Linked DNA regions of Macaca fascicularis. The protein of the gene in region 1 purifies or fractionates together with the protein of each later gene. This does not show direct contact. Links are inferred from orthologs where the notes say so. Each region holds a gene or a part of one and is shown in the gene's direction. Other genes may lie near its edges.

Region 1 (10,251 bases):
GGTTGAACTTTGCACTGAATCCCTTCAAACTGCCTCAGTTTCCTCATGTGATTAATGCATAATTTAGACTAGGTCTTACAACTCTTTAGCTTTGCTAGGAGTAGAGGACACATCATATGACTTTGGCATATATATTCGTGTTGTCTGTTTCTTGGTATATAGAGAAAAGTAAATGAAAGTTTGTAGGCATCAGTGTAACACATATACACTTCATACTTTGTTTCTGATGTATTTGTATAGAATATCTTAAGTGGTGCCAACATATGAAAAAGCATAGTGTTTTACTTTAACAATTAGTTTTCGTAAATGACTTTATTGATTAGGATTTTTGCTGTTCTGTTAAAATTTTTAGAAGACATCATTCAGATTTCTTAAGCTATTTTAAAAAATGATCTCCACAGTTTCTTAAAGGAAGCCAAAAGTAGTTTGATGCAGATGATACTGTTTTAAGTGATATCATTCGCTGAGTTGTCTTTAGGAAAGCCTTTAGACATGTATTTCTAAGTGTGTACTTTTAGATAACTTGAAAGATTTAAAAGTCAATAACTTGAAGATCAAGATGTTGTTTTTCTGCTAAGTCTACATTTATATTGAGGGATTCAGTTTATGTGTTAGAATTTTATTGTTGCTAAAAGGTATCTGGCTCCTTTTTTAACATCTAGGAATTTAAATTCATGGAACAGTCTCGCTCCCCATCAGTTTCACCTAGTAAGCAGCCAGTCTCAACTTCTTCAAAAACAGTGACCTTGTTTGAGCAGTACTGTAGTGGTGGGAATCCATTTGAAATTCAGGCCAACCACAAAGATGAAGAAACAGAAGATGTCTTAGCTTCTAATGGGGTATGTGGTGTATGTGAAACATAAGTGAGATTTTTTTTAGTTTAAAACTGTTCTACTCAATGAGCAAGGCAATTTACTACATTGGTTATAAATTATTATTAAAAAAGATATCCATTTACTACCCATTTATGTATCCATTTACTACCACCCTGCCCGCCCACCTATATACTTAATGTATCTATGATATTACATTTATAGATAATGACTTTACAATATGCTTTGTTGACCTTGTCCTCTTGAATAGTAAATTTTCCCTTTATGTTTGCTTTATGTTCTTATTACATGATGTTCTTATCAGGTTGCTAATCAAATAGTAGTATAATTTCTTCACTGAATATTTATGTGATATATTATGTGAATATGATGTGATATATTGTGAGATGAGTGAGGGAATGGATATCATCTACCCTTTTTCTCGACACCCTTTATGGGTCACAGATTGCTTTTGTTCCATGTCCCTTTGTCTAAGAGAAAGTGGTAATGTCTTGCTTAATTGCTTGGCAGGGATATTTTTTTGAGATTTAGAAGTACAATGTTTTAACAACACTTTTTAGGACCTCAAAAACAATATTAACTAGATGTAGTGTGAATTAATGTAAAGGATTTGAAGGCAGATAATGAATATCATCTTTATTATTTATCAGCTGTGTAGCCCTTGGCAAATTATTTTAACTTTGTGACCCTCAGTTTCTCCATATTTACAGTGAGAGGAATGCTTCACAGCTACTTGCATGGTATTTTCACAGTATTTTACTTGACTTAATAAGTTGTTTGATGGTTTCTTCTGATCTTCATAATTTCCATAATGACTCAATATAATTTTTATTTTTGATTGATGAAGCTAAAGTGAAAACCATTCAGATGTGACAAAAATATGTTGAAGGATTTGTCTTTATATTTTATGTTAGTTTTAGAATTTATTTTTCATTTGGTGAAGATGAAATTCATGAAGTTTAAATTGTTTCATAGTAAGCCATATTTAAAATTATGATTCAGTGATTCTTTGTGACATTTTGCCTCTGTGAAATTGACTAAACTGAGAGGAATTTAAAGTCATTCCAATTATTTTGGAATAACATATCTCTCTATAAAAGTGATTCACTAACTAAAACTTACATAACCTTTGATTCCCATTATTTGCAGCAGTGTGTTCTATAAAGTTGCTGTGAATATTGATTTAACAAATACTCAACCATTACTCCCAGAGCAAATATAGGATTAGGTTCCTATAAGCCTCTGGTTACAACATATTTATCAGCCCATCAGTACATAATCTGAATTCATAGTCAACAACACCATAACTCTTGCCTAAATGAAGCTTATCAGACACACATATTTTATTTCTAAGGCACATCACAGCCTTCTTGTGCTTAGAAACACTACACAGCACTTCAGGGCTACACTTGTGGTGGCATTCTAAACAGTTAAATCACCAACAAAAAGCACAAAAATACAAAGAACTTGGCACTAAATAGGTCATGAAAAGGAAACTTGTTTATAGTATGAGAGCCTAAGCAAGAAGACAGAGCATGCTTTGTATTCAGCTGGGAACATGCATGTTGGATGACTCAAACTTTTCACTGTTCTGCACATTTATGAATGACTCCAGAAATATCATAAGTGTTGACTTTAGGGTTACAAATAAATTTCAGTGAGCAGGCAAATTTGCAAACATTGAATCCTCAAATAATGGGTATCTGTGATACGATGTGGTCACAAAACTCTGTTGTTGTAATCAGGACATCCTAGTTTGTGTAGAATACCTTTCTGCATAGCATCAGGATCACATTGTGTATAAGTATAAAGGAGTACCTGTAAGGCTTGTTTGCAGTTATTAATGTGTGATCTCATCTTCCCAGGTGCAACTTATGTCCTTGAGAATCAGGGTCCACGTCTAAATACGACCTTTTTATTAACAGACTCTCAAAAAATAGTTGTTGAATTAGGGGACTAAATTATTTCCATGTTGTTATCATACTGGTTTTCTCAACTGTCATGTGGAGATAAAACTTCCTCAGAGAAGTGTCTGTACAATTAAATGAGATAATTCATGAAAGAATTTAGCATAATACTTGGTTAAAAACTCAATGTTAGCTATTATTTAATCATACTAATATTAGCCATTATTTAATCATACTAATCTATAACATTAATAGATGATGATGATGAAAGTGCTGTCACTGCTTCCTTTACTGTGCATGAATTCCACTGTCCTTTCCCGTGCTGGCATTGGGCCATAGTGCCATAAAGATGATGAAAATGTTAGGAAGACATCCTTCCTCTCAGGAGTAAATCCACCATTTTTGTCCTCATTCTCAGCAGGTCACTGTGTTCTAAGCTTAATTTTCTAAGCTGCCCTTGAAATTAAGTCTTATAGTGAATTAAAACATCAGCATGTGTGTTGTGCATGTTTATTAAGCTGAAGTAATACTTGCAGAGTGCCAGAATTGGATATTGAACCTCTTTTTAATGAATTTTATTAGCAAATTGGAAATATGTATGGTGAAACTTCTGAGAGACTTTAAGTTAAAAAAAAAAAAAAAAAAAACACGTGCTTATGTGTACTCTTCTTCTCTTTTTAGGCCTAGTGGAATGTTTGTTAGGTTTTCGTTTATGGTGATTTTATTTTGTTGCACATTTCAAGCTTTTATAGGTGTAATATTTTTCTTTTGTGCTGATTAAGGTAGAATGATGAAGACAATGGAAGAATAATCAGATTCTTGGTGACAACATTAAAACTAAACTACGGATTTTCTTGTATTTAGTGGTTTCTTGTAAAATTGAGTACTTTCGCTGTGTTGAGACACCCCACGAAACGAGGCCCTTTATACTCATTTTTTAATATCCTGTGTTTTCTTCAGTATGAATCTGATGAACAAGAAAAGAGTGCCTATCAAGAGTATGACAGTGACAGTGATGTTCCTGAGGAACTCAAACGAGACTATGTGGATGAGCAGACAGGAGATGTTCCTGTGAAAAGGTGATTGTTCTTAAATTGTGTGGTATTTAGCATTTTATCTTGTGCTCTTAACATATAGGATTTCCTTTAAGGTTAAGAAGAAATAAAAATTATGTTTTTTGGTACTTATTATGTCACCTGACAGAAGTTAGTATGTTTTAAATGATTCCTGGAAGGCTAAAAATGTGTTTTTCCTCCTAACATTTCATAACTGGATTTCATGAAAAATAAAATAGTTATATGAAAAGTTCTGCCTAGCAAAACCTTTGCCAGCATCTCACAAATCAGTTCATTTAACTATGAACTGGATTGTTAATGTGTCAAAAAAGAAATTGATTTAGCCATTTAAAAGTTCTTAAATGGCTAGTTTTAATGTAGCTTTCCTTTGAGTTATGTAGTGTGTTTGACATTGCTTTTTGTAGCAAGATTCTAATTCCTTTTTTATGGCATCACGAAGTTAGTCATTTTTTAAAATCTGTTAAAATTATTGTTGAAAATATTGGGCATAATCAAAGAGATTAGTTTTTGCAGAGGAAAAAGCCTTTAGATTTATAAAATCAATCCTGCCTTTGGTGGCCATTTATGCGATTTACATAGATAAATAAAAAACCTCAAGGAGAAAATGATCATTTGTTTTGTATGTGGAGTTCTTACTTCAATCTTGTAAACACAGAAAATCACCACTTATTTCCCCTGTGTCATTTTTGTTCACTATTTGAACTTTCTACCAAGGTGTCCTATTAGTGATTGAGTTTTGTTTTATGATAAACTGACCTCTTCAAAACTATGATAATTATAACAGAATTTTTTCTTACCTTTTGCCAGTTAAATGGGCCTGATTCTGGAATGTTGAAATGACTTGATTTCATGACTATCATACGTTTAGTGACTATAAATGTACTTTTTTTTCTTAATGGTAGTAACGATAAGTATACTCTTACCGTTTAACGCCAAGCTACCTATTTAATACTGTTTAACTTGAAATCCCGACTGAAATAATACTGTTTTCAAAAGTGAGCAATTCACGAAATTGTAGCTATTTTAATTGAAAAAATTTGTTCTATTGGTTTTTGCATATGTATGATATTAAGTGTCAGTATGATCTACTGTGAACTAAATAGAACTATTTTGTTGGAATTCTTTATTAGATGTTTTGGGCATATTTTGGCCAAAAGGAAAGGTCTATTTGAATTGAAATATACAAGTAAGATAGTGTCTGCCATGTGTATATACCTCCATTTTTGGTAGGGTTACTGCAGCCCCCTAAACTTACCCCTAAGAAGTTTGAATTGAACGAATTAGTGCCTGAAGCCAATACATTGAGTTATTATCAATTCTAACTTGTGTCTCTTGAGTTGACCACTTTTTCTGGCATTTCACCACTACCATTCTAGTTTATCCTAAAATTATCTCTGTGCCAGATTATTAAATCAACTCCTTTACCTTGGATTCTTGTCTCTAGGCTTGCCCCATTCCAAACAACTCTTAGATTTAAATTTAGGGTTTTTTTTTTTTCATAGTTACAAATTTAATCTTGCTGTTTTTCTGGTTAGCTTTTAGTGACTCACCACTGTATTCAAGATAAGGTTCATATCCCTCAGGTTTGATTGCTTTCAGGGATATCCGGCCTTTACTTGCCTCCTTTCTTATTACTTTCCCCTCTGTTTATTTCTTCTACTTGCAAATGTGGTGAACTCCTTGTACTTTTCTGAGCACACTCTGTTCTCTCTTATCTCTAACCCTGTTTTATGCTGGCCCTTTTTTCTGTGCTGACCATATAACTTTTACTTTTCTTTTGAACCTAACCTAATGCTGCCCCTTAACCCCAAATACTGTCACCAATATTCTCTACTTAATTCAGATTCTTAGGAGGGTATTTTTTCATGTTTATAAGTTTCTGAAATCAAGAAACATAGTACATCTGCACCTAGATATGTAATTATCTTGGAAAATTTGTTTTTTAAAGTGATTAGTTTTTTTAGTGGTTGATAATGTTTTATAATCGAAGAAATGCATTATGGTACTTTATTTTTTTGCTTACTTATTTCCCTTACTTATGGATTGTAAATTTTATAAGGATAAGAAGTTAATCTCTATATCTTTACCTAATGCATAGTACGCTTTTCATTAAATAATTAGTTAATAAAGGCTATGGACTAATCTGAGTAACTTATTGGTTTATTACTTGACAACTCTAGCAACTCTGTTTTGTTTTTTCATATAAAGTGTTTCTCGGGAAACTCTAAAAAGCAGGAAGAAATCAGATTACAGTCTAAATAAAGTGAATGCCCCTATCTTAACAAATACAACGTTGAATGTAATAAGACTTGTTGGTAAGTAGCTACACATTTAAAAACAAAGAAAAAGAAACATTATAACAGTTAAATTAGTTTGGTACTGAATGACTTTTACTTGTGGTTTTCGTTGTCTGGTATACTGCAGTGCTCTCTGCAATAAGGGATTTAAGGTTATCATATGTCTATGCTTCTCATTTTAAATGTTCCAAATACTATAATACTAATAGTAATGCCAGTTTCTCTTTTTAAGTTACCTGTTTATTAAGTCTTTGTATCTTCCAATTTTTCTAAAATATTTCAGTTAATTGAAATGTGATGAAAAATTCTCTAGGTAGGTTAGAGGTACATGTAAGATAAGATAGTACCAGTTTCACATTTATACAATATTTTTCTACTTTGTTGTTTCATAGATCTTTACAGTATTCTGTCAGGCAGAGTGAATAGTGACTTTCTGACATTTTCAGACTTAAGGGATTTACAAGCTAAATGTTCAGATTATAGGAAATGTTGTTCTTATTACAGGTAAGACATTTATTGATGATTTTGTAGAAGGGAAACAATATGAAGAAATGACATTTTAAATATTCGGGTTTGAGGATGATGTGGATTTTTTTTTAATGTCAGTATTTCAACATCTTGTATGTTTTTAGCCTTTCTATCTCACTAATAAGTCTATCTATTTGACAAATAAGTTATAGAGATGTCTTCTCATATTAACCTTCATTATTCCAATCAGGAATTTTAGTGGTTTTCTATAAAAATCTCTATCTATGGAGATGGTATTTACCTATTGCCTAGTTTGATTAATCTTAGCTCTGTTGAAATAGTCCGTGTTCTTTAAGATAATTATTAAATGTAGTTAATGAATAGGATAAAATGTATAGAATGCTTTTTAGGAGTCACGGTTTCTCTAGAAAGAGCAAAAAATGTTACTGAACTGAGAAGAAAAGAAAGGTATACATTTTCATGATGCTCAGAAAAAAGAATAGATTCTAAAAAGCTATTCTGTGACTAGTTATTGCCAGGGAACTAAGCTTTTCTTCTTCCAAGAGAACTGACTGAACATAGTGTCAGAAATAACTCTCTAGAATTTGTAGAATCAGAATTGGAAGAGTGCTGAGAGGTCATTGGTGTAAGTTCCCATGAAGTCGGTTGTCTTTCTGTAATGTCTCTAATATGTGGTGGCTGTCTAGCTTCTGTTTCGTGATTCCCAGTCATTGGAAACTTAGTGGTTTGCAAGACTACTCATTCTATCATTAGACTGATCTCATTAGTAGAAGTCTCTTCCCCAAGATAAACCAAAACCTGTCTCTATGTTTCTAGCTTTTGATCTGTCCTTTTGGTCTAAGAGTTCTGCCCTTAGAAGCAAGAAGAATAAGTTCATGCTTTAAAAAAATTTTTTTTCTGTTTCTATTTATTCTGTTCTATTTCTTTTATCTTCTATTTCTTCTATTCTTCCATGTGATCACTTTTCAGATATGTGGTGGTAGTTGTCCTGTCCTTCCTTTTCTCATACCAACCACCCCACAATCCATTTTTCAGGCTTCATGGGCTCAGTTCCTTTATCTTGTCCTCACTGATAGAAATTCAGACATTTCAGAATAATCGTCATCCTCCTTAGCCTTCTAGACTCAGCACTTTTCAGTGTCTGAACACATCACTTGAGATGTAGTCAGCTTTTGCTAGATTATGTTGAAGTAACAAGCAGCTCTTGGTGCATTAATGACTTTCAACCACAAAGTTTTATTTTTCACTCGTGATACGCATTGTCTCCTGATTATATGTAGCTCTGCTCCGTGTGTCTCTTCATTCTAAGATGTAGGTTGAAAGAATAGTACCAACCAATCTGGAACATGGGAAGAAGAGCAAGAGCAAACTCTGTTATGACTCCTGAAGATTCTGCTTCCATGTGTCAACCTTGACTTCCTCTGACATGTCATGGCCAAAGCAAGTCAGGCTTGGCAAAGGGAGGGAGAAGTATGCTTCTGCCACAGGAAGCACTGCAAGTCAAGGAAAGTGGGCAGGACTGTATCATGCTCTTATGGGAAATTGGGAAAAATAATATAATTAAACATATCTGTTTATATTTTTTACCTTACCTAGTTCAAAAGGGGCTGGAGGTAGTCATGTTGCTGTTTACTCTGAAGGCATATTTTCATAATAATCAAATAAAATAAAATACAAGGCTAAGGCAAAGTTGAGGAATGGGCACATCATGCTTTATCATATCATATTTAATGCAGACATCAAATACAGTGCTTAACTTCTTGGTAGGCATAAGGGAATTCACAAAACAATGTATTCCACTATCCTTATTATCTGTGAAAAAGATACAGGCCTTTATAATAATGGTAGAAATATGCTCCTGGTGCTGAATTCAGACGATAGTAACAACAAATTCTTACATGAAGATTGCTGACCAACATAGTGGGCCTTGCTTTTGAACAGTGGGTTTATAGGAACTGAGAAAAGCCACATTCAAGAGCCTTTAAAGTATGGCACAGTCCTGAATAAAACCTTACTCTGTGAAGAGAATTTGACTATTGCAATTTCAGCTTTCTACACTACCATATCTTTTACTGGACTTGCAATTAGGAAACAATGCCAAGTATGACAATTTAACTTTTATATCTTTTCATTTAGGACTGGGATTAGGTGCTGCCATTATCACCTCAGTTGGGATCCCCAGTAGACTTTTATTCTTATCATTTTCTCTCTCCCTGGGATGTTTTTGTCTTCAGTTTTTAGATATATACAAAACAGAACTTTAAGGAAGCCACTGTCTCAGAGGTCTCTGACTAGTAAATGCACTATTCCATCCACTGTTGTTATTGCATAGAAGTGCCTGAAGATTATAAACTGGCAAAAGTCATGCCTCTTCCTACAAAGGGAGAAGTATGGTTATATAAATAAGACAGATTAATTTTTGGTACTTGAGAAGATGAAGGAGCTAATTATTGAGTATTTCGGAAACACATATTAGAACATTAAAGGCATATTTAAAATGTCCCTTTCAAGTAGTATTTACTTGGCAGATAATTAGCAGAGAGTAAACAAAAGAGTGTTAATGGGGCTCCCTTACCCCAGGTGGTAACTAAATTTATTAGAAAGGCTCAGGGAGGCTTTGCACTAGTGGAGAGAACTGATCAGAAGACTTGCTTGTATTATATAAAGAGAAAATTCTGTCAGCCTGATGGTTTCTTGCAGACAGAGAAAGAGAAATTTTAGGAAATGTGTCTCATCAGTGAAATAGCCTTGGTATTCATGGTTCTCTCTCCTGGAGACAGCTCTCACTTGAGCAGGTATGATAGGTCTGAGGAGCAGGAGCTAGATTACCGAAGTCCATGCTTATAACAACTGCCGACAACAACAAAATTACCACTTTAGTAGCTAGAAAAAAATATACCCTAGCACGTGCATCAGTATTTAAAATGAAAATAGGATATGTGCATCTAAGGGATATTTAGGTGTAATATATATTCTTTTAGGTATAATATACATTCTTTTCCTTGGGGGAAGGTAAAATACTAGATGACAGACTGTTGAAGTTTCCCAGCACTTTAGTTTGCTGGCATACTCTTTATCATTGAGCATTTTAAATTGAAAGGTAATGCATGAAAGTGGTTAAAAATTAAAATACCGCAAGGTATAAGCAGAGCCCCTGAGCTGCAAATCTCCTTCCCCAGACAAAACGACTGAGTTTCTCCTGTTTTCTTCTGGAAATATTAGTGTTAGTACAAATATATTTAATATGTGTATCTCCTCTCTCCTATTTTTTTGTTGTTGTTTTGTTTGTTTCGAAAATTGAATTACACTATACTGTTTTTATCTGGCTTTTTTACTTAAAATATCTTAAGGTTACACTTAAAATAACTTAATGTATTACTTATCTTAGTATGTGTGGATTTCATTCTTTTTTCCTATTGTATAGATGTAATATTATAAGTGCCACAATTTATACATCTTCTACTTTTCAACATATAGGTTACGTCATTTCATACTACAAACTGCCACAGCAAGTATCCTTGAAGAAATATCTTTGTGCATATACCAATAGAGCTATAGAACAAATTCCTATAAATGCTTCCTCTAGCTGGATGAAAGAGTATATACATTTCCAGTTTTGATGGACATTCTCAATTTACCAATGAGGTTA
Region 2 (10,251 bases), on another chromosome or scaffold:
ATAAATGGAACAACAAAGCCTGGATGACAGCACATCTGTTCATAGCATGGTTTAGTGAATATTTTCAGCCCCCTCTTGACACCTACTGCTCAGGGACAGATTCTTTTGGAAATTACTGTCCATTGGCAATGCACCTCGTCACCCAAGAGCTCTGAAGGGGTGGTACCAAGAGCCGAATGTTGTTTTCATGCCTGCTAGCACAGGATTCATTTTGTAGCCCATGGATCAAGGAATAATTTCAACTTTCAAGTCTTATTATTTAAGAAATACATGTCTTAAGGCTGTTGTTGCCACTGCCAGTGATTCCTCTGATGGGTCTTGGCATAGTAAATTGAAAACCTAGAAAGGATTCACCATTCTAGATGCCAGTAAGAACATTTGTGATTCCCAGGAGGTGGTCAAAATACTGACATTAATAGGAAGTTAATGGGGGAAGTTGACTCTGGCTCTTGTGGACGACTTTGAGGGGTTCAAGACTTCCATGGAGAAAGTCACGGCAGTTGTGGTAGAAATAGCAAGAGAACTAGAATTAGAAGTGGAGCCTGAAGTTGGGACTGAATTGCTACAATCTCACCGTCAAACTCGAATGAATGAGGAGGTGCTTCTCAAGGATGAGCAAAGCAAGTGGTTTCTTGAGATGGAATCTACTCCTGGTGGAGACGCCGTGAACACTGTTGAAATGATAACATAGGATTTAGAATATTACGTAAGCCAGGTTGATAAAGCAGTGTTAGGGTTTGAAAGGACTGACTCCAATTTTGAAAGAAGTTCTACTGTGCATAAAGTGCTGTCCAATAGCATCACGTGCTGGAGAAATCTTTCATGAAAGGAAGAGTCAATAGATGCAGAAAACTTCATTTTGGTCTGAGAAACTGCCATTGCCACTCCATCCTTCAGTAGCTGCCACCTGATCAGTCAGCTGCCATCAACACTGAGGCAAAACCCTCCACCAGCAAAAAGATGACAATTCCCTGAAGGGTCAGGTGATTGTTAGTGTTCTCTAGTAATAAAGTATTTTAAAATCAAGGTATTCCCAATAGCTTTTTAGACCATAATGTTTTTGGACACTTACTCGACTGCATTATAGTGTCAGTGTAACTTTTACATGCACTGGGAAACCAAAAAATTCATGTGACTCTCTTTTTGCCGTATTAATGTTATCGTGGTGGTCTAGAACCAAACCTGTAATAAGTGTGCCTGTGTTCCAGAAAGCGGGGATTTCATCCAGGGAGGAAACACAGATCTTAGTTACCATGGGAAGCAGCTGCCACCCCCGCATGGAGACGCAAAAGGAAAAGGTAATAAACCTGGAGCTTAGAGGAGGTGCCCCGCAGAGCACACACTGGCACACGCCGACACACACCAGGCCCTCTGCAGGAGCATTGGCATCCGCAGAGCAGGTCTTCTGAGAGCCTCTTTGGAGCTGAGACCCTGCGGCGAGCATCCATGTGGGCACAGATGGGCTTGCACCCTGCTCAGCCTGAGCCCCGACATCCCCTCTTGTTTCGTCCCCGCTCTGTGCTTTCCAAGTCCTTGTTATAAGGGCAAAATGGAGGCTACAGCCTCTAAATCAATACAGACTCATATCTCTGCCCATCTGGACAATGTGGACAGCCAAGTGTCCTGCTCAGAATTTTGCCTCCTGGTATGATTTCTCTTTACCAGTTGTCGTCAGAGACACTTCTTCAGGGAGCACTTCCCATTGCTGCAGCTCATGAGGCTGCGCTGTGTGCAAGCCAAGGGTCGGTGCTCCCGAGCTGAGGGCTGGTGCTCCTCTTCATTCGCGGTGCTGGGGAGCTTCCCAGGAGAACAGAGGCAATGCAGTGGTGCCAAGGCAGAGGGAGCTGCTACCCGTAGTTATGCCACCTGCCTGTGCCTCAGGACCTGCTTGAACACAATTTTGTTTGGACGAAGTGAGATTTCCACGCAGTGACTGAGTGCGATGACTGAGTGTGATGATTGAGTGTGATGATTGAGTGTGATGACTGAGTGCGATGACTGAGTGTGATGATTGAGTGCGATGACTGAGTGTGATGATTGAGTGCGATGATTGAGTGCGATGATTGAGTGTGATGATTGAGTGCGATGATTGAGTGCGATGATTGAGTGTGATGATTGAGTGCGATGATTGAGTGCGATGATTGAGTGCGATGATTGAGTGCGATGATTGAGTGCGATGATTGAGTGTGATGATTGAGTGCGATGATTGAGTGTGATGACTGAGTGCGATGACTGAGTGCGATGACTGAGTGCGATGATTGAGTGCGATGATTGAGTGTGATGATTGAGTGCGATGACTGAGTGCGATGACTGAGTGCGATGACTGAGTGTGATGACTGAGTGCGATGATTGAGTGTGATGACTGAGTCGATGACTGAGTGTGATGATTGAGTGTGACTGCTGCTTCTGCCTGCGCTTAGGGCTTGATGTCAGACCACACGCGTTTTGTGGTGTGCAGTGCTCAGTGTACAGCATGCCCACATGATGGAGTGGGTAGGGAAGCCAGGAGCTGTGTCCGGACAGGAGAGAAGTTACATGCAGAAGGGACACTGCTTGCCTCCCACGCCTCACTGGCTGGCCTGTGATTCTCCCACGGGCCCCCCAGAGGCCCCACACAGCATGCTTGTTCACCCCGACACGGGGTGCCAGTGGCCATGCAGGTCTTCACAGCCCGCCATATGACAGAGGTAGGCTTTATGTCATATGTTACCTCCCAGATTCAAAAAGCCCCACCAAAGTCGGCCTCGTGGTGGTGAAGATGCCCCCATCTGCTCCACATCACCAGACCTTGAGACCTCCCTAAGCCAAGGGGAGCCGGCTTACTTCCCACCTGTGTGCACCTGTGTTGTTCAGGCATCTGAGGTGCCCGATGCTTCCTGGTCAACAGACCCCAAGCGCATGCTGTCCTCACTGTGCTTTCTGTCCTGTGATTGAGGTCTTTGTGGATGAGGTCAGGCTGTATTGGTCTGGGCAGGAAGTGGAAACAGCAGGTTAAACAGGGAAGTTTAGTATAAAGAAGCGCTAAGTGTGGTAGAAGAGTCACAGGCGTCAGGTATTAAGAAACTCCCTCAGGTCACCCCGGACGGAGCAAGAGCAACTCAGGAAGGAAGATCTTGGCGGGGCGCAAACCTCAGCCCACCGTGCAGCAGAGGTGGCTGCTCTGGCCAGGCTGGAGCTGGTCCACAGTCGCTGGATTGGCAGGAGGCTGTCCTCTGGATTGCAGGTGGGGAGTAGGTGGTCACAGCTGACAGCATGCTGTGCCGAGGGTGTGGGAACCCTCTGGGCTGTAGGCAGGGTACAGATAGGCCCCACGGGTGCCTTCAGAGGGAACCAGGACACTGGCATGGGCTCCAGGCCTCCCGGAGCTGGTGTGGGCAGGAAGTCTTGGGGGTCCAGTCTCTGGATTGAGAGGCTCATGGAAAGGCTATCACTGGACTGAGGTGACGGGGTCACAGAAGGACCAAGGGCCCAGTGTTGGGGCCACGCTTCCCTGCACACACTCACAACCACTCCAGGACTGTGGCGTGGAAGGCCCTGCCTCCTGCAGTCTCCCTCCAGGGCCTTTGGCTGAGAACAGGGCGCATCTCCAAGGAGAGCAGCCGAACAGTCTGTGCTACACAAGGCATGGTCTGCAGGGCGCCTACAGCACCTGAGGCGGCAAGTGGGTCACTGGCACAGGTGGATGGAGCCAGCCAATTTCTTCCTTAAAGGGCCAGAGAGTAAATATTTTAGGCTTTGTAGGCCATTCGGTCTCTGTCTTATATTCTCCTCTGTGTCCTTTGATGTCTTTAAAAATGCAGAACCACTCTTAGCTCACGGGGTGCAGGCCAGATGTGCCTGATGGGTACAGCATGTTGGCCCCAGGCCTGAGTCTTGATGTAGGTCTGCAGCAGGACGTGAACAGGTACTGCTGGCCTTGCCAGGTGACAGCGAATGGCTTCTGGTGGCCCTTCAAATTGGTGGTGTAGACCAAATTGCTAGATCAATCTTTGCATCAGAAGCCAGGGCCTGCATTCTTGTGTAGACGTGCTCTGTGACAGCAGCGTATCTGAAATGGCCGTGTTGGGGTTGCCCACCTGATTAAGTTTATGATCATGCACTGTCATTCTCCGAGAACCCTCTGCCGCTACGCAGGCCAAACAGCTGGGTTTGGTGGGGTGTGGTCAACGGCAGCACCCGGCATCTTTCCCAACCTCCATGGTGGTCCTAACTCTCCATCCCACCAACACTGCAGTGCTGCTTTCGGTGGACTAATTTCATGGGTGAGGGAATGTCCTGGGGCGTCCCTCTGGTCCTTCCTGTCATCACTGGCTCTGTAGCCATGGAGTGGGTGCTGTGTGGTCGTCCTGCCAATGCCAGGTCCGTCTATTCCAACGCACATGCAGGGATTGGAGAAATAACCGCAGGTTGGATACACTGACCCCACTGGGTTCTCTGAGGTGGACTTGGGCCACAACCTCCAGGTCTCTGCCTGGGGCCGTAGACCCTGTGATGTGTTGGGTCCAGCAGGACTGGCATTGATTCAGGGTCTGGGGTAGTTCCCTCTCCCCATGGTCAGCTCTCCTATAAAATAGCCATGGGTCCTTCCCCAAGGGGACCTGGGTTCCCCTAAACCGAGGGGCCATAGGCCTGTGAGCTGGCTTAGGTGAAGAGCTGAGAGAGGCCGCGCCTCTGCACTGTGGTCATCAGGCCAGCTTTCTGTCTCTGCCCTGAGCCTTTCTGGCATGTGGAGTTGGGGCTGAGCAGCCTGCCTGTCTTTTTCTCCCTTGGCCTCTGCCGCAGCTCCATCTGGTCTAGACTGCTCTGATTGGCATCTCATGCCTGCGCCCACTGTATCTCTGGAGCTCACGGCCGGCGAGCCCCTGACACCCCCACTTCTCAACACCCTCTTCCTGTTGGGGCAGCAGCCTGTTGTGATGCTGGCACCACCTCCTGCTGCCTCCTGGCCAGCAGAGCTTGTCAGAGGCGCGGGTGCCCCTCACGAATGCCTGGAGGATAAGAGACCTGATGTCATCCTTATCTTGCTCATCAGCCTTGCCGCCTTCTGCAGTCAGTCTCTGCCCCTGCACGCTCAGGAGCTGCAATCTGTACATGGTGCCATCCCTAAGGCGTTTAAAAGGCCATCGAGGAAGGTATTTTTAGGCCCAGATTTTCAGGCATCCTGTCGTGCACCCCGAGGCATACCTGCATCAGGTGAGCGCCCAGTGAGGCTGTCGTTTGTCCTCATCCCTCCTGCTCAGCTCCTACCAGACTCAGAGATGGCTGCAGGCTCTAAAAATAGCCCCATCTTAATGTACTGCTTGTGCAGCCTGGAAGCCTCCTCCTCCTCCAGCTGGGGATCAGATTAAGTCCCCCAGGCAGGGCATTGTTCACCCTTTAGCCGGCCTGACTGGAGCTACTATTCATGCTCACAAAGGCTCTAATCTCCTTTGAATTCCTGTAAGCCTTTTGCCTGGTAATCCCTTCCAGCAGGCAGCACAGGCGGTCACGAATATGCCTCCATCCCTTCATTTTGCCCTGATTATCTCTTTATCTCTTTAAGGGTCTTTAGCTTTTGTGTTAACATGTAAAAAGTAGGTAGTGGCATCAAATTGGCTTTAAAGACACAACTTGGAATTTTCTCTTTCAAAGCAGGGGGCTGTTATGGGAGTCAGGAGGCTCCATTCATTCTGGACATCAGTGCTAATGAGCCGTTTGAACTTGGAAAATCAGTGGCTTCACTGGGCCTCAGTTTCCTCATTTGTGAAATGAGGGGGCTGTGTTCATTCAGCATGATATCGGAGTTCCCTTCCAGCCCAGGTATCCTGTGGTTCTCTGACTTCTGTCGGCACAGACGTGGTGTCTGTGGGCAGTGCTGCTGTGGTTTGTGCCATAGGCCTGGTTTTATGTGGCAGCCTTAAGCCCTGCCCTCTGCTGGCTCCTAGTCATTGTGATGTTAATTCGGCACAGGAAGTTACGTTTTCAGGACCCCAGTTCAGGAGTGTGTGAAAAACATAGATAAAAGATGAAATGCCTCCCTGCTTATTACAGCGTTTTCCTTCTAAAGATCAGGTTTTGCTTCTTAAAAGCTCCTTCGTTTCTGTGATGGCTGCTGGATGTGTGTTGAACACTCTTTTGGGATCCAACAGCTACAGAAATCCTCAGAGTTTCAGAGCCGATGAGTGTGTCTCCATGGGTGCTTCTTCCTTAGTGCTGTTTACCTTCCATTTCATCTGCCTCTGAGGATATGGAGAGTTTCTGGAGGTACGAATGCCTACCGTATTTCCTGAACCCCAAGCACACTCCTTATTCAGCAACGTGCGCAGCTCTGTTCATTTCTTTGGGTGGCAATGCCAGAGACACCTCCTGTCTGCACACACCTCTAATGTTCTCTGATCTTCCTCAGGGTGATTTCTGGTGTTCACATTCTTTACTAAGGCATTTTGAACTCATCTTGTACCCACCAGATTTTCAGACTAAATTCTAGAAGGGCAATTTTATAATCTTTTGGAAAATCTAAGTACATTTTTCATACACTAGAAATTTCATTAATTTTATTTTCCTTTTATTTACCAATTTTTAGAAAAATGCATTGAGGCCAGGTACGGTGGCTCAAGCCTGTAATCCCAGCACTTTGGGAGGCCGAGGTGGGTGGATCACGAGGTCGGGAGTTCGAGACCATCCTGACCAACATGGAGAAACCCCGTCTCTACTAAAAATACAAAAATTAGCTGGGCGAGGTGGCGGCGCCTGTAGTCCCAGCTACTCAGGAGGCTGAGGCAGGAGAGTCGCTTGAACCCAGGAGGCGGAGGTTGCAGTGAGCCGAGATGGCGGCACTGCGCTCCAGCCTGGGCGACAGAGTGAGACTCCATCTCAAAAAAAAAAAAAAAGGGAAGAAAAGTGCGTTGGTTCCGTAGTGTTTTGCAAAGGAACGGGGTGAGGTTGTCTTCGTGTGTCACATGACCTTGCACGTGGCTAACACCGTTGATGCTTCCACCCACTGCAATTCCCTTTTTTGATCTGTCCTGCCCCAAGGAAGCCTCCTGTGGCCCCTGCTTTTGACACTTCCCTAGCAGTGCTGGGAGCTTCCTTATTTGCCAGACACAGGAAAGCCTTTATTTATCCAGTTCTTCTGGGGCATGGCAAGCTGAAGATGATTAGGACATTCATTACAATATGGAAGCAGCTTGGGTATGCATCAAGGCTAATGAGCCGGATGAACGGATAAAGAAACATGATACAAATAGAGCACTGCTCAGCCCTAAGAAGGAAGGAAATCCTGCCATTTGCAGCAACATGGATGAACCTAGAGGTCTTCAGTGAAATAAGCCCAGCACAGTCAGACACCACGCAATCTCACTGATATGCAGAATCTAAAAATACTGAAGTCACAGAAGCAGAGTAGAAGGTGAGACCAGAGGCTGGCCGGAGGGCAGATGGGGAAAAGGGAGATGTTGGTGAAAGGATACAAAGTTTCAGTTAGGTGGAGAAATGAGTTCTAGAGATCTATTGGATGTCTTGGTGACTACAGTTAGTAGCAATGTATCATGGTAACTGAAGTTATTAGCATTGTATCATATACTTGAAAATTGTTAAGAGAGTAGATTTCAAGTGTCTTCACAACAAAAAATAAGTATGCAAATATGAATTGGCTTAACTTAGCCATTCCACAATGTATACACATATCAGAATATTATGTTGTATACTATAAATATATGCATTTTTAAATTTGTCAAATAATAAGAAAGTTCATGTTGCTGCAGCATCATTTGTTGGGACACAGAGCCGTCTGGAAATACTGGGTTCCATGCCTCTGTGTGCTATTATCGGGGCAAGGAAACTGACAGAGGAGCTGGGTCCAGCACTGTGCTGCTTCCTGGGGAAGGTGCTGGCCGCACGGTGCTGCTTCCTGGGGAAGGTGCTGGCCGCGCCATGCTGCTTCCTGGGGGAGGTGCTGGCCGCACTGTGCTGCATGCTCTTGCTGCATGAACCCGGCACACCCGGGTGGTGTGGTGTGATGTGGATAGGAGATCCTGGGTCCACTCCTGCTTGTTGCATAGTGCGGTTCTGAGGCTTCTCTGATTATGTGTGTTTGTGGTGGTGGGGCCATTGCGGGGTGGTCTCTGGTCAGGGCATCAGGTTGCTGGCTTTGTTTTTGCAGCCAAGAAAGGCAAAGTCATACTTAGAATAAGTATCGGGTGAACCCCTTCCCGTTCTCAGGATGGAAGGGGCCCTAGGCATCACCTTGCCGCATGCAACACCATGAGTCTCCAGGTTCTCAGTCTTTTTCCTTCCAGGCTTCTAACCAGTCACCAGGCAGTTGGTCATGCCCTTGAGCATGGGCCACTTTTTGCCCGCTGTGGGGATGGCCAGAGCAGTGCTGGGAGCCCTGCCTTTCTTCACAATCACCTTCCCCTCCATGCTCTTCCAGCCCTCTCCTGAGTGTAGCCATCTGACAGCGCCTGCCCATGTCTGGCTTATGCCCTCTCCTGAACTCATTGATCTATAAAGCAGCTCAGGTCTCTTCTCCTTCTTCAGCTAAAAGTACAGGACTCCCACATGGCCACAGGCATGAGTGCAGGGAGGGTCCGGGGCGGGGAGGTCATGTATGGTTTGGGCACCCACCATGCAGCTTTCTGGTGCCCTCTGGTCCTGCCTGACTCTGTCCTGTGTGCGCCGTCTCTACTTTGTAGTAAATCACTGCTGGCCCTGCCCAACCCTGTGACCTGGTGGCTATGACTGAGCTCTTCTCATGAGTGACACCTGGCACTTGGTGCCCCATGGTCAGGAGCTCCGTTATCAGGACCTGGAAGCATGGTCACAGCTGTTTATCAAAGATGTGGTTCTGTGCTGCAGATGGCATGGCTTGCTCCAGAGCCCCAGGACCACATGGTGACTCCACCCAGGCTCTCCACAAAGTCCACACTGCATGCTTTCTACCACTGACAACATGCTTTCTACCACTGACAACATGCTTTCTACCACCGACAACATGCTTTCTACCACCGACAACATGCTTTCTACCACCGACAACATGCTTTCTACCACCGACAGCTTCCACACCAGCAGGTCTACTAGGCGTCCCCAGAGGCGGGGCTGCCTCTCCCCAGCCTGATCTTGCTGCAGTGCCCTCTTGGCCTAAGCTGGCAGCTTTACGTGCTACCCCAGCATCTGGGCTGGCCCAGCCTTCCTAGGTGTGTAACGTGCCACCTCTAGAATGAAGAGGCCTGCCAGGCATTGCAGCGTCATTTCTGCTTTTGCTCTGGAGGGTAGGTCCTGGTGTCCTCAGCAGAAGTAACAGGTCCTGGAATCACCATAGCCTGTGTCTCCTGCCATCTTGCCAAGGTCTTCTGCATGCTCCTCCTACCTCGTCACTGTGATGTCATGAATGCAGTGGGTCCGTGTGATGTTCTCTGGGCTGCCCAGACCTCTTTGAACTATATTATGGTAGAAAATGGGAGACCAGCACAGCTCTGTGGCAAGAGTGTATACTGTTTTCCTTTGCTCGTGAATGCGGATGGTTTTCTCATCTTCTTTCTTCATTGGGATAGGACAGGATGCATTTGGTGGTCCGTGTGCACACATCATGTGCCTAAGGGCCTGGGAATCTGCTCTAACAAACAAGACTCCATGGCTGGCACTGTGGATCTGAGCAGGCTCCTGCTTTGCTGAGCTGAGAGTCGTCCACAGTCATTCTCCAGGGCCCATTGGCTTTCTGCAGAAGCCAGTGGTGAATTCAGCAAAGCCACACCCACTTCATATCCTTGATCCTTACAGTAAGCACAGATCTCTACCACTCTTTGATGGGATGGGGAGCGCAGTTTCAGAGGCTTCTATGTGACCTTCCCATTAACTCCACGGGCCACAGACCCAATATGGACTTGTCATAAACTGCCCAGTATGTCAATCCTATTTGACCTTAACAGACCCTGGAATTGCCCACTGGGTGCATCCATAGACCCAACGGATCTGCGGTAAGCCAGGCTTTGCCTAGGACTTTACTTATTATCTGGTGTCCCCATGCCCCACTCGGGCCAGAGGACACTGGGACACTTTGGGTTGCTGGGCCTCTGTGTGTGTCTTTGTGTTCAGCAGACCTGGAAATGTGTGGGAATTACCCTTTGCCCAGGGAATGGCATTCAGGAAATGGCAGTGGGTCCCTTTGGTACAGACTGGGGTAATTGTTGCAGTGTACACCTGCCCTAGGGTTGCAGGTTCCTAACTCGTGGGGAATCAGACCATCTTTATAGTCAGTGAGTTCCAGCTCTGAAG
Region 3 (10,251 bases), on another chromosome or scaffold:
AGAGGCACAGCAGCCTGCGCGGATGTCAGAGGCGTGCTCGATCGGCTCCGGGTCAAGGTGGGAAGTAGGGATGGATACCCTGGAGGCTACTAGAAGCAGCCCTCCCAAGATCTTCACTATGGATTTTCTTGGCAGAGCTCACTGTAGCCTGTCTCCAAGAACTTCACCCTGCCTTTTCTGGGCAGCCCCATTCTTGCCTCTCTGGGTTTCCTTGAAAATCTTGAGAAATACCAAAGAGATATGCACCACTTTTCAATCTATGTTTACCATTTGTTGCTTCCCCCAATTCCTCTCATACAGCAAAAAGGTTGCAGCTTCATGCTCTGTGCTTGGTTCCCCACATCTAGGCAGTGATGAAGATCCGAGAGTTTATCCTCCAGAAGATTTATTCCTTCAGGAAACCAATGACCAACTATCAGATCCCCCAGACGGCCCTGCTGAAGTACAGGTCACAACCCCAAGGAAGTGCATGGGATGGCCTTTGAGCTTTTGAGCAGCCTAATGGCATCTGGTTTCCTGGGAGACAGGTAGACTGACATGTTCCTGACCTCCTAGGTTCTTCTATCAGTTTCTGCTGGGCAATGAACGAGCAACAGCAAAGGAAATCAGGGATGAATACGTGGAGACGCTGAGCAAGATCTACCTGTCTTACTACCGCTCTTACCTGGGGCGGCTCATGAAGGTGCAGGTAAGGTCAGGAGGGAGAGGCATTCCTGGGCACGTGGACTGGGAGGAGGGGACATCCCTGGGCAAGGAATATTTTATTGTGTTGTCGGAAGAGACGGTTATCAGTTCTCTTTTCTGTTTTCTTAGTATGAGGAAGTTGCTGAGAAAGATGATCTAATGGGCGTGGAAGATACAGCGAAGAAAGATATCCTAGTCCTGGGGAACCCTCATGCCAGGTCTTGAGAGTGGGAGGACTTTCGGCTGCAGCCACCAAGGCACTGTTCCTTACCTTTTCCTATGGGACTGAAACCTTTTAGAATGTGATGAAAGCTATAGCCTCCCTCCTAAGAAAGATGCGTCATTTTGACACATAGTTTTGCATATGATTGCAGGAGGTGGGGAGACACCCTGAAGTCCGTTCACAGATGTCATCACGTGGGGCCCTAGTACTGGGAAAGAGGGCTGACTAGGCCATGTCTCGCTGTCTGGGGTCCCTGCAGATAGTGAGTCTTTGGGCCCAGTTATGGTCTCATTGTTTTCCCTGACTCTGACCCATCTTACGATTCTTCTCAAAGCCATCACTCCGCAGCAGGAACACCATTTTCACCCTAGGAACCCGTGGCTCTGTCATCTCCCCCACTGAACTTGAGGCCCCCATCCTGGTGCCTCACACAGCCCAGCGTGGAGAGCAGAGGGTATGAGGAGGAACAAGCTTCAGTCATGAAAGAGACTCTGAGCATGGAGGGAGGGAAGGCCAGACCTCAGGGCAGAGCTTCCCAACCTGCAGGCCCTGTCTCGATCCCCTTAGACTTGGGAGTGGCCTTCTCCAATCACTCCAGCCTGCTGTGATGTGAAAAGAGCTGGGAACCATTGACTTAAGGGCATGCAGAGGGGAGAGACTGGATGAGGGGAATGACGGTCAGAGGCAGGTGTTGAGGTGGATGCAGGAGTAGCAACAGCAGGTGGGTGTAGGCCCTTTTTGTACCCCTATGTTCCCCCACCTTTTCAGTGCCCATTCAGCTTGCTCTTTGACAGCCTGGACCTAGATGGATGCCAAGGGTCTGCCCAGCTCTTATTACCCAGGTTTACTGATTTTGCAGCCATATCCATGGGAAGTCAGTGTTGGGGTCCATCCCTTCTGTGTTTCTTCTTTACTTCTCCTCTCCCAGTATCCATTTGAGGCCCTCTTCCGCAGCCAGCACTACGCCCTCCTAGACAATTCCTGCCGCGAATACCTTTTCATCTGTGAATTTTTTGTTGTGTCTGGCCCGGCTGCACATGACCTGTTCCATGCTGTCATGGGCCGTACACTCAGCATGACCCTGGTAAGATTCCTATTTCCTGTACTATTCAACACCTTTGTCCCCAGTCTTCATCAGCAGCATAGTGGGGTCATGACTCTGGTAGAACTGAAATCAATCAGGATCCTCATTCTAAAATGTCTAAGCCTTGGCTGGGCATGGTAGCGCACGCCCATAATCCCAGCATTTTGGGAGTCTGAGGCAGTAGGATTGCCTGAGCTCAGGAGTTTGAGACCAGCCTGGCCTGTCTATGAAAAATAAAAAATTAGCCAGCTGTGTGTTGATGTATGCCTGTGGTCGTAGCTACTTGAGATGCTGAGGTGGAAGGATTGCTTGAGCCCAGGAGGTCAAGGCTGCAGTGAGCCATGCACTCCAGAGTGAGACCTATCTCTTAAAACAAAAAAAAGAAAAGCTGGGCACAGTGGCTCACACCTGTAATCCCAGCATTTTGGGAGGCTGAGGCGGGAGGATCTGTGAGTTCGAGACCAGCCTGACCAACATGGTGAAACCCCATCTCCACTAAAAATACAAAATTAGTCGGGCGTGCGCAGCCTGTAATCCTAGCTAATCAGGAGGCCGAGGCAGGAGAATTGCTTGAACCTAGGAGGAGGAGGTTGCAGTGAGCCAAGACTGTGCCACTGCACTCCAGCCTGGGTGACAGAGCAAGACTCCATCTCAAAAAAAAAAAAGTCTAAGCCTTGTTACTTAGACTTGTCACAGTGTTACTTCCCATGAAATCCTCAGAGTGTAGGGTCCCTGAGACTCCCCCTGCTGCTGCCCCACAATCAGAATCAGGCAATAGCACGTGAAAACTGAGGGTCCTCCAAACCCCTGACCCAAGCTCAGCCTGGAACTCTGCTGTGATAGGCTTGTGATCGTAGATCCTGCTGCAGCCAGGTGCAGTGGTTTACACCTGTAATCCCGGTACTTTGGGAGACCAAGGCAGGAAGATTGCTTGAGGCCAGGAGTTCAAGACCAGCCTGGGCAACATGGCAAGACCTTGTCTTGACAAAAAATTTAAAAATAAGCCAGGCATGGTGGTACACACCCATGGTCCCAGCTACTTGGCAGGCTGAGGTGGGAACATCACTTGAGCCCAGATGTTTGAGGCTGCAGTGAACTGTGATTGTACCATTGCAATCTAGCCTAGGTGACAAAGCAAGAACCTGTCTCTAAAGTCAAAAACGCCGGGCGCAGTGGCTCACACCTGTAATCCCAGCACTTTAGGAGGCTGAGGTGGGCGGATCACCTGAGGTCAGGAGTTCGAGACCAGCTTGGCCAACATGGTGAAACCCCATCTTTACTAAAAATACAAAAATTAGTCAGGCGTGGTGGCAGGCGCCTGTAATTCCAGCTACTCAGGAGTCTAAGGCAGGAGAATCGCTTGAACCTGGGAGGCAGGCGGAGGTTGCAGTGAGCTGCGATTGCGCCACTGCATTCCAGCTTAGGCGACAAGGGCGACAAGAGCGAAACTCCATCTCAAAAAAACAACAACAAAAAAAGCCAAAAACATAGATCCTGGTGGGTAAGGCAGTAGGACCACCCGGGTGGCAGTGGACAGGAAAGCAGGGGGCAGTTGCATTTTACATCTCTCCCTTCTGTCCTATCCAGTGCATCATCCCCAAAGAAACACATGCGTTTGTTCATAGTCACTGAGGAAAACAAACTGACATTCTCTTTTAATCCTCTGCTTGTTCCCCAATCACATAGAAACACCTGGAGTCCTATCTCGCTGACTGCTACGATGCCATTGCTGTTTTTCTTTGTATCCACATTGTTCTCCGGTTCCGTAACATTGCAGCAAAGAGGGATGTTCCTGCTCTGGACAGGTCACTGAATTCTGGTCCTTGATGCCCAACAGGCCACAAACTCTTGGTCTTGCATGACTCTGCCCTGACCTTAGACTTCTACTGACCTGGTATCATTAACCTTTATTCCCATTGATTTGCTCCAGAGGCAGTACTGCTGCTTTTTGACTCACCTTTCTCCAACCACTGCCCCCCCATCCCCACAACTAACTGTTGACCATTAAACTGAATGGTGCCCCACTCCCCCCCATCCCTCTCCAACATTCCTTGCCGGCTGACCTCAGATTCTGATTAAGCCCACAGGTACTGGGAACAGGTGCTTGCCTTGCTATGGCCACGGTTTGAGCTGATCCTGGAGATGAATGTCCAGAGCGTCCGAAGCACTGACCCCCAGCGCCTAGGGGGGTTGGATACTCGGCCCCACTATGTGAGGGAGGGCAAGGGTAACAAAGGGTTCTTGAAAGGCAGGGCTCTAAGCATCATTGTGGGGGTTGGCCACGGTCACAGTTGTGTCATGGGCCACGCTCTGAGCAGGCATTCTGGGAGGGTGATAAAACTCATGGTGAGTGGTGCACTGTGGGTAGGAGGGACTGGAGGTAGAGTCACATCACATGGTGGCGGGTTGACCAAGGGAGTTGGGAGGTGGTGGTGGTTGGGCCAGGAGGTGGGTGTGATTTTCCTTCCCACTCTGTCCTAGATCACACGCCGCTACGCAGAGTTCTCCTCCGCTCTTGTCAGCATCAACCAGACAATTCCCAATGAACGGACCATGCAGTTGCTGGGACAGCTGCAGGTAAGGGTCAGACAGGAGAGACTTACCAGCAGCAGGGCTGCTGCCAGTGGGTGGAGGCTGAGGAGGAGCCAGAGGGGGGCCTGATGGCCTTGCTTTCTGGTGTCACCTCTTCTCTGCCTTTTCAGGTGGAGGTGGAGAATTTTGTCCTTCGAGTGGCAGCCGAGTTCTCCTCAAGGAAGGAGCAGCTTGTGTTTCTGATCAACAACTATGACATGATGCTGGGTGTGCTGATGGTAATAGGTGCTCCTTCTCCTTGTCTTCCTACCCAGAAAATTGGGTTTCCCCCACTGCTTTGTTAGCTCTGTGAGGGCAGAGACGATGCCTGTCTTGTTCAGCGTTTTACTCTTGGAGTCTGGCACAGTGTCCAGCTTAGTACAATAAGTGTGGAATGAAGGGGACATCCTGAAGTGAAGGACTGCTTTCCCCAAACTTGACATTTCCCTTTGTCTTCCCTTAGGAGCGGGCTGCAGATGACAGCAAAGAGGTTGAGAGCTTCCAGCAGCTGCTCAATGCTCGGACACAGGTAGGGGTGTGGGGAAAAGGGAAGGGACAGCTTTGTGTGCTGTTTTCAGCTCCTGTGTGTTTGTGTGTGTGTGTGTGTGTGTAGGGAGTGGCATAATGGACCTCAGGTACATGGAATTACTGTAACTCTTGATCCACAACATACTGTCATTATTGGTCTACTTTATTTTATTTTGTCTTTGGTTTTGCTTTTTTTTTTTTTTTTCCTTTTTTGAGGCAGAGTCTCGCTGTGTCACCCAGGCTGCAGTGCAGTGGCATGAACATGGCTTACTGCAGCCTCGACAGCCTGGGCTTAAGCGATCCTCCCACCTTAGCCCCTGGGTAGCTGGGACCACAGGCATGAGCCACCACGCCTAGCTAATTTTCAATTTTTTTTTTTTTTTTGTTTTTTTTTTGAGACGGAGTCTCGCTCTGTCGCCCAGGCTGGAGTGCAGTGGCGCAATCTCGGCTCACTGCAAGCTCCGCCTCCTGGGTTCACGCCATTCTCCTGCCTCAGCCTCCTGAGTAGCTGGGACTACAGGCGCCCGCCACCGCGCCCGGCTAATTTTTTGTATTTTTAGTAGAGACGGGGTTTCACCGTGGTCTCGATCTCCTGACCTTGTGATCCGCCCGCCTCGGCCTCCCAAAGTGCTGGGATTACAGGCGTGAGCCACCGCGCCCGGCCATTTTCTATTTTTAGAATGAATTTTATTTTTTTCTTTATCCATCCCCTCAAGCACTTATCCTTTGTGTTATAAACAATCCAGTTACACTCTAAGTTATTTTAAAATGTACAATTAAGTTATAATTGACTATAGTCACCCTGTTGTGCTGTCAAATAGTAGGTCTTATTAATTCTTCCTATTTTTGTTTGTACCCATTAATCATCCCCAGCCTTCCACTAGCCTTCCCAGCCTCTGGTAGCCATCCTACTCTCTTCGTACATGAGTACATGAGTTCAATTGTTTTGATTTTTAGATCCCACAAATAAGTGAGAACACATGACATTTGTCTTTCTGTGCCTGGCTTACTTCACTTAATATAATGATCTCCAATTCTATGCATGTTGTTGCAAATGACTGAGTCTCATTATTTTTTATGGCTGAATAGTGCTCCATTGTGTACATGTCCCACGTTTTCTTTACCCATTCATCTGCTGATGGACACTTAGGTTGCTTCCAAATCTTAGCTATTGTGAACAATACTGCAACAAACATGGGAGTGCAGATACCTCTTCAATGTATTGATGTCCTTTCTTTTGGGTATATATCCAGCAGTGGGATTGCTGGATCCTATGGTAGCTCTACTTTTAGTTTTCTGAGCAACCTTCAAACTGTTCTCCAAAGTGTTTGTACTAATTTACATTCCCACCAACAGTGTATAAGGGTTCCCTTTTCTCCACATCCTTGCCAGCATTGTTATTGCCTGTCTTTCGGATAAAAGCCATTCTGAGTAGAGTGAGATGAGATCTCACTGTAGTTTTAATTTGCATTTCTTTGATGATAGTGATGGTGAGCCCCTTTTCATATATGCCTGTTTGCCATTTGTATTCTTTTGAAAAATGTCTATTCAAATCTTTTGCCCATTTTTTAATAGGATTATTAGACTTTGTCATGTAGTGTTGTTTGAGCCCCTTATATATGCTGGTTATGAATCCCTTGGCAGATGGGTAGTTTGCAAATATTCGTTGTCTCTTCACTTTGTTATTTCTTTCGCTGTGTGTGCAGAAGCTTTTTTTTTTTTTTTTGACACGGAGTTTAGCTCTTGTTGCCCAGGCTGGAGTGCGATGGTGCGATCTTGGCTCACCGCAACCTCCGCCTCCTAGGTTCAAGCAATTTTCCTGCCTCAGCGTCCCAAGTAGCTGGGATTACAGGTATGTGCCACCATGCCTGGCTAATTTTGTATTTTTAGTAGGGATGGGGTTTCACCATGTTGGTCAGGCTGGTCTCAAACTCCTGACCTCAGGTGATCCGCCCACCTCCATCTCCCGAAGTGCTGGGATTACAGTGTGAGCCACCGTGCCCAGCTGTGCAGAAGCTTTTTAATTTGATGTGATCCCATTTGGCCATTTTTGCTTTGGTTGCCTGTGCTTGTGGGGTATGGCTCAAGAAATTTTTGCCCAGACCAATGTCTTGGAGATTTTCCCCAGTGTTTTCTTGTAGTAGTTTCATAGTTTGGTCTTAGATTTAAGTTTTTAATCCATTTGAATTGGTTTTCATATGTGGCGAGAGATAGGGGTATAGTTTCATTCTTCTGTGTAATGGATAGCCAGTTTTCCCAGCACCATTTATTGAAGAGACTATCTCTTTCTTTTTTTTTCCTCAGACGGAGTCTTGCTCTGTCACCTAGGCTGGAGTGCAGTGGTGCAGTATTGGCTTACTGCAACCTCCGCCTCCTTGGTTCAAGTGATTCTCCTGCCTCAGCCTCCTGAATAGTTGGGATTACAGGTGCCTGCCACCACGCCGGGCTAGTTTTTGTATTTTTAGTAGAGGTGGGGTTTCACCATGTTGGCCAGGCTTGTCTTGAACTCCTGACTTCAAGTGATCCTCCCGCCTCGGCCTCCCAAGTGCTGAGATTACAGGCATGAGCCACCGTGCCTGACCAAGAGACTATCTTTTCCCCAGTGTATGTTCTTGGCACTTTTATCAAAAATGAATTCACTGTAGGTGTGTGCGGGCTAATTTTTTAATTTTGTAAAGACAGTGTCTTGCCATGTTGCCTGGACTGTTCTTGAATTACTGCCCTCAAGTGAAAAATCTAATGATTCTTTTGGTTTTTTTGTTTGTTTGTTTGTTTAGAGACGGAGTCTCACTCTGTCTCCCACACTGGAGTGCAGCGATACGATCTCGGCTCACTGCAACCTCTGCCTCCCAGGTTAAGTGATTCTCCTGCCTCAGCCTCTTAGTAGCTGGGACTACAGGTGCGTGCCACCATGCCCAGCTAATTTTTGTATTTTTAGTAGAGATGGGGTTTCACCATGTTGGCCAGGCTGGTCGTGAACTCCTCACCTCAGGTGATTCACCCGCCTTAGCCTCCCAAAGTGCTGGGATTACAGGCGTGAGCCCCTGCACCCGGCCCGGATTCTGTTTTTAATGACACTGAAAAACAGAATGAATTTTTGTTTTGGCATATATATAGCTCTACTTTTAAAAGCAAGAACACACACACAAAAGGGGGAAAAAAGCAGGAGTACAATAAATGCAACGTTTAGATCAACGAGTACCTGTGCATGAGAGGCACAGGGATAGTTTCAGGAGGATTTCATAGTTTGATGGTGGCTTTTGCCAAGCTGCTACTTCTTGGATTGTGTGGTGTGTTTGTGGGTGTTTATATCATTAAAAAACAAAACAGCCACTGCACTGGGTTGTTTTATTTTTTAATGATATAAACACTGATGAGACAAGGCAAGAAAACAGCAAGGCAAAAAAAACAAAAAAAAACAAAAAAAAACAGGCATGGTGGTGTGCACCTGTAATTCTAGCTATATAGGAGACAAAGGCGAGAGGACCACCTGAAATCCAGGAGTTCGAGGTTACAGCAAGCTGTGATCATGCCATTGTAGTCTACCCTTGGCAACAGAGCAAGACCCTGTCTCAAACAGCAAAACAAAAATCCCCAGAATCACAGGATTTTTTTCATGCATAATTTTTCTAATATTGTCATGTTATTGCATATGGCTATAGCTCATTCTTTTTCACTGCCATATATGACTTGTGTGATTAAACATATTCTATAAATGGATTGTTTCCAGTTTCTTGCTTCTGTGAGCATTGTTTTATGAATAATCATGTCTTTTAGCACACATAGATACTGATTATCTTCATCAGAAGTTTCTCTTGGGTATAAACCTAGGACAGTATTTTTGCTGTTTATAAGATAGGCAGTATTAGTCTTTATAAGACAATGATAAATTGTTTTCCTAAGTAGTTCCTTCTTACCAGCAATATGTAAGAATTCCTTCTGAGCCACATTTTCTCCAACATGTGGTATTATCAGATCTTTGCCATCTTTTTCTTTTTTTTTTTTTAAGAGACCAGAGATGCTGCTAAAGATGCTTGGGATCAGAAATGTTTCAGATTTTGAGTTTTTTTGGATTTTGGATTACTTTTATTATTTTTACTGGTTAGCATCTGTAGTCTGAAAATCTGAAATCTGAGATGCTCCAAAGAGCATTACCTTTGAGCGTCATGTTGATACTCAAAAACTTTCAAATTTTAGAGCATTTTGGATTTTAGATTATTGGATTAGGGATACTCAACCTGTATTTCAGTGGGTCTTTATTTGTAATTTCCTGATTACTAATAACATTGAGTATCATTTCAAATGTTTAGTAACTATATGTAGGGGTTCAGTCAGGCTGGTGGGAAAAATACTAGTTATGATAGCCACAAACCCTCTTCGAAGGCCTGAGAGTTTGCATAACTTCAGTAATAGATATGGTTGAAGGCGACCTGATCTTTACCTTTAGTTAAATAAATTAGAGTAATAACAAAGGAATGTGGGGAAGTTAGCTAGCTAGCTTGTTTACTCATGTGGTCTTAAGACTAACCTTTCATGTACCGCAGGTGCCTAACTGCTTTCTACTCAGGAAGTCCACAGTGTCAGTTACCCTGTAGTGGTGTTGACTCAAGTCTTTGTCAATTAATCTTTACTGAATAAATGAGAGTCTCACTAGCTGGTCAGGGCCGCCATCGCAACTGTTTACAGTACTCTACAGGGAGTTTGTAAGCAGCCTGGACACACTCAGCTGGACTGGCAAAGCAGAGTATCTGTGTCAGTGTACTTCATTCATCCTTCGCCGGGTCAGGGGTCTGCAAGGGACAGACTCCCCGCAGCTGGTGCTCTGTGTCAGCATCACCACAACTATACCATTTTTTTTTTTTTTCTGTAGAATGGCTGTCATAGCATTTGACCTTTTAAAAATCGGGTTGTGGCTGGGCATGGTGGCTCACACCTGTAATCCCAGCACTTTGGGAGGCTGAGGCGGATGGATCAGTTGAGGCCAGTAATTCAAGACCAGCCTGGCCAACATGGCAGAACCCTGTCTCTACTAGAAGTACAAAAATTAACCAGGCATGGTGGCACATGCCTGTAGTCCCAGCTCCTCAAGGGCGCTGAACCTGGGAGGTGAAGGTTGCAGTGAGTCAAGATTATGCCACTGTACTCCAGCCTCAGTTACAGA

What was found.
Region 2: the proteins of VPS50 (region 1) and EIPR1 purify together in Homo sapiens (affinity purification with mass spectrometry; 4 studies listed by BioGRID and IntAct, counting the BioPlex papers as one, with this or other methods). This does not show direct contact. The link is inferred for Macaca fascicularis from reciprocal best matches to the Homo sapiens genes VPS50 and EIPR1.
Region 3: the proteins of VPS50 (region 1) and VPS52 purify together in Homo sapiens (affinity purification with mass spectrometry; 4 studies listed by BioGRID and IntAct, counting the BioPlex papers as one, with this or other methods). This does not show direct contact. The link is inferred for Macaca fascicularis from reciprocal best matches to the Homo sapiens genes VPS50 and VPS52.

The regions. Positions count from the first base shown.
Region 1 is NC_088377.1:128,009,362-128,019,612, reverse strand, and holds part of VPS50 (syndetin), read left to right. Parts: intron 1-662; coding exon 663-839; intron 840-3,700; coding exon 3,701-3,819; intron 3,820-6,024; coding exon 6,025-6,131; intron 6,132-10,251.
Region 2 is NC_088387.1:118,873,545-118,883,795, forward strand, and holds part of EIPR1 (EARP and GARP complex-interacting protein 1), read left to right. Parts: 5' UTR 1-4,817; coding exon 4,818-5,193; intron 5,194-10,251. UniProt on the Homo sapiens protein: Acts as a component of endosomal retrieval machinery that is involved in protein transport from early endosomes to either recycling endosomes or the trans-Golgi network.
Region 3 is NC_088378.1:138,435,275-138,445,525, forward strand, and holds part of VPS52 (vacuolar protein sorting-associated protein 52 homolog), read left to right. Parts: coding exon 1-57; intron 58-347; coding exon 348-448; intron 449-555; coding exon 556-688; intron 689-813; coding exon 814-871; intron 872-1,227; coding exon 1,228-1,361; intron 1,362-1,474; exon of another isoform or gene 1,475-1,628; intron 1,629-1,835; coding exon 1,836-1,991; intron 1,992-3,677; coding exon 3,678-3,796; intron 3,797-4,078; coding exon 4,079-4,202; intron 4,203-4,472; coding exon 4,473-4,568; intron 4,569-4,693; coding exon 4,694-4,801; intron 4,802-5,025; coding exon 5,026-5,091; intron 5,092-10,251. UniProt on the Homo sapiens protein: Acts as a component of the GARP complex that is involved in retrograde transport from early and late endosomes to the trans-Golgi network (TGN).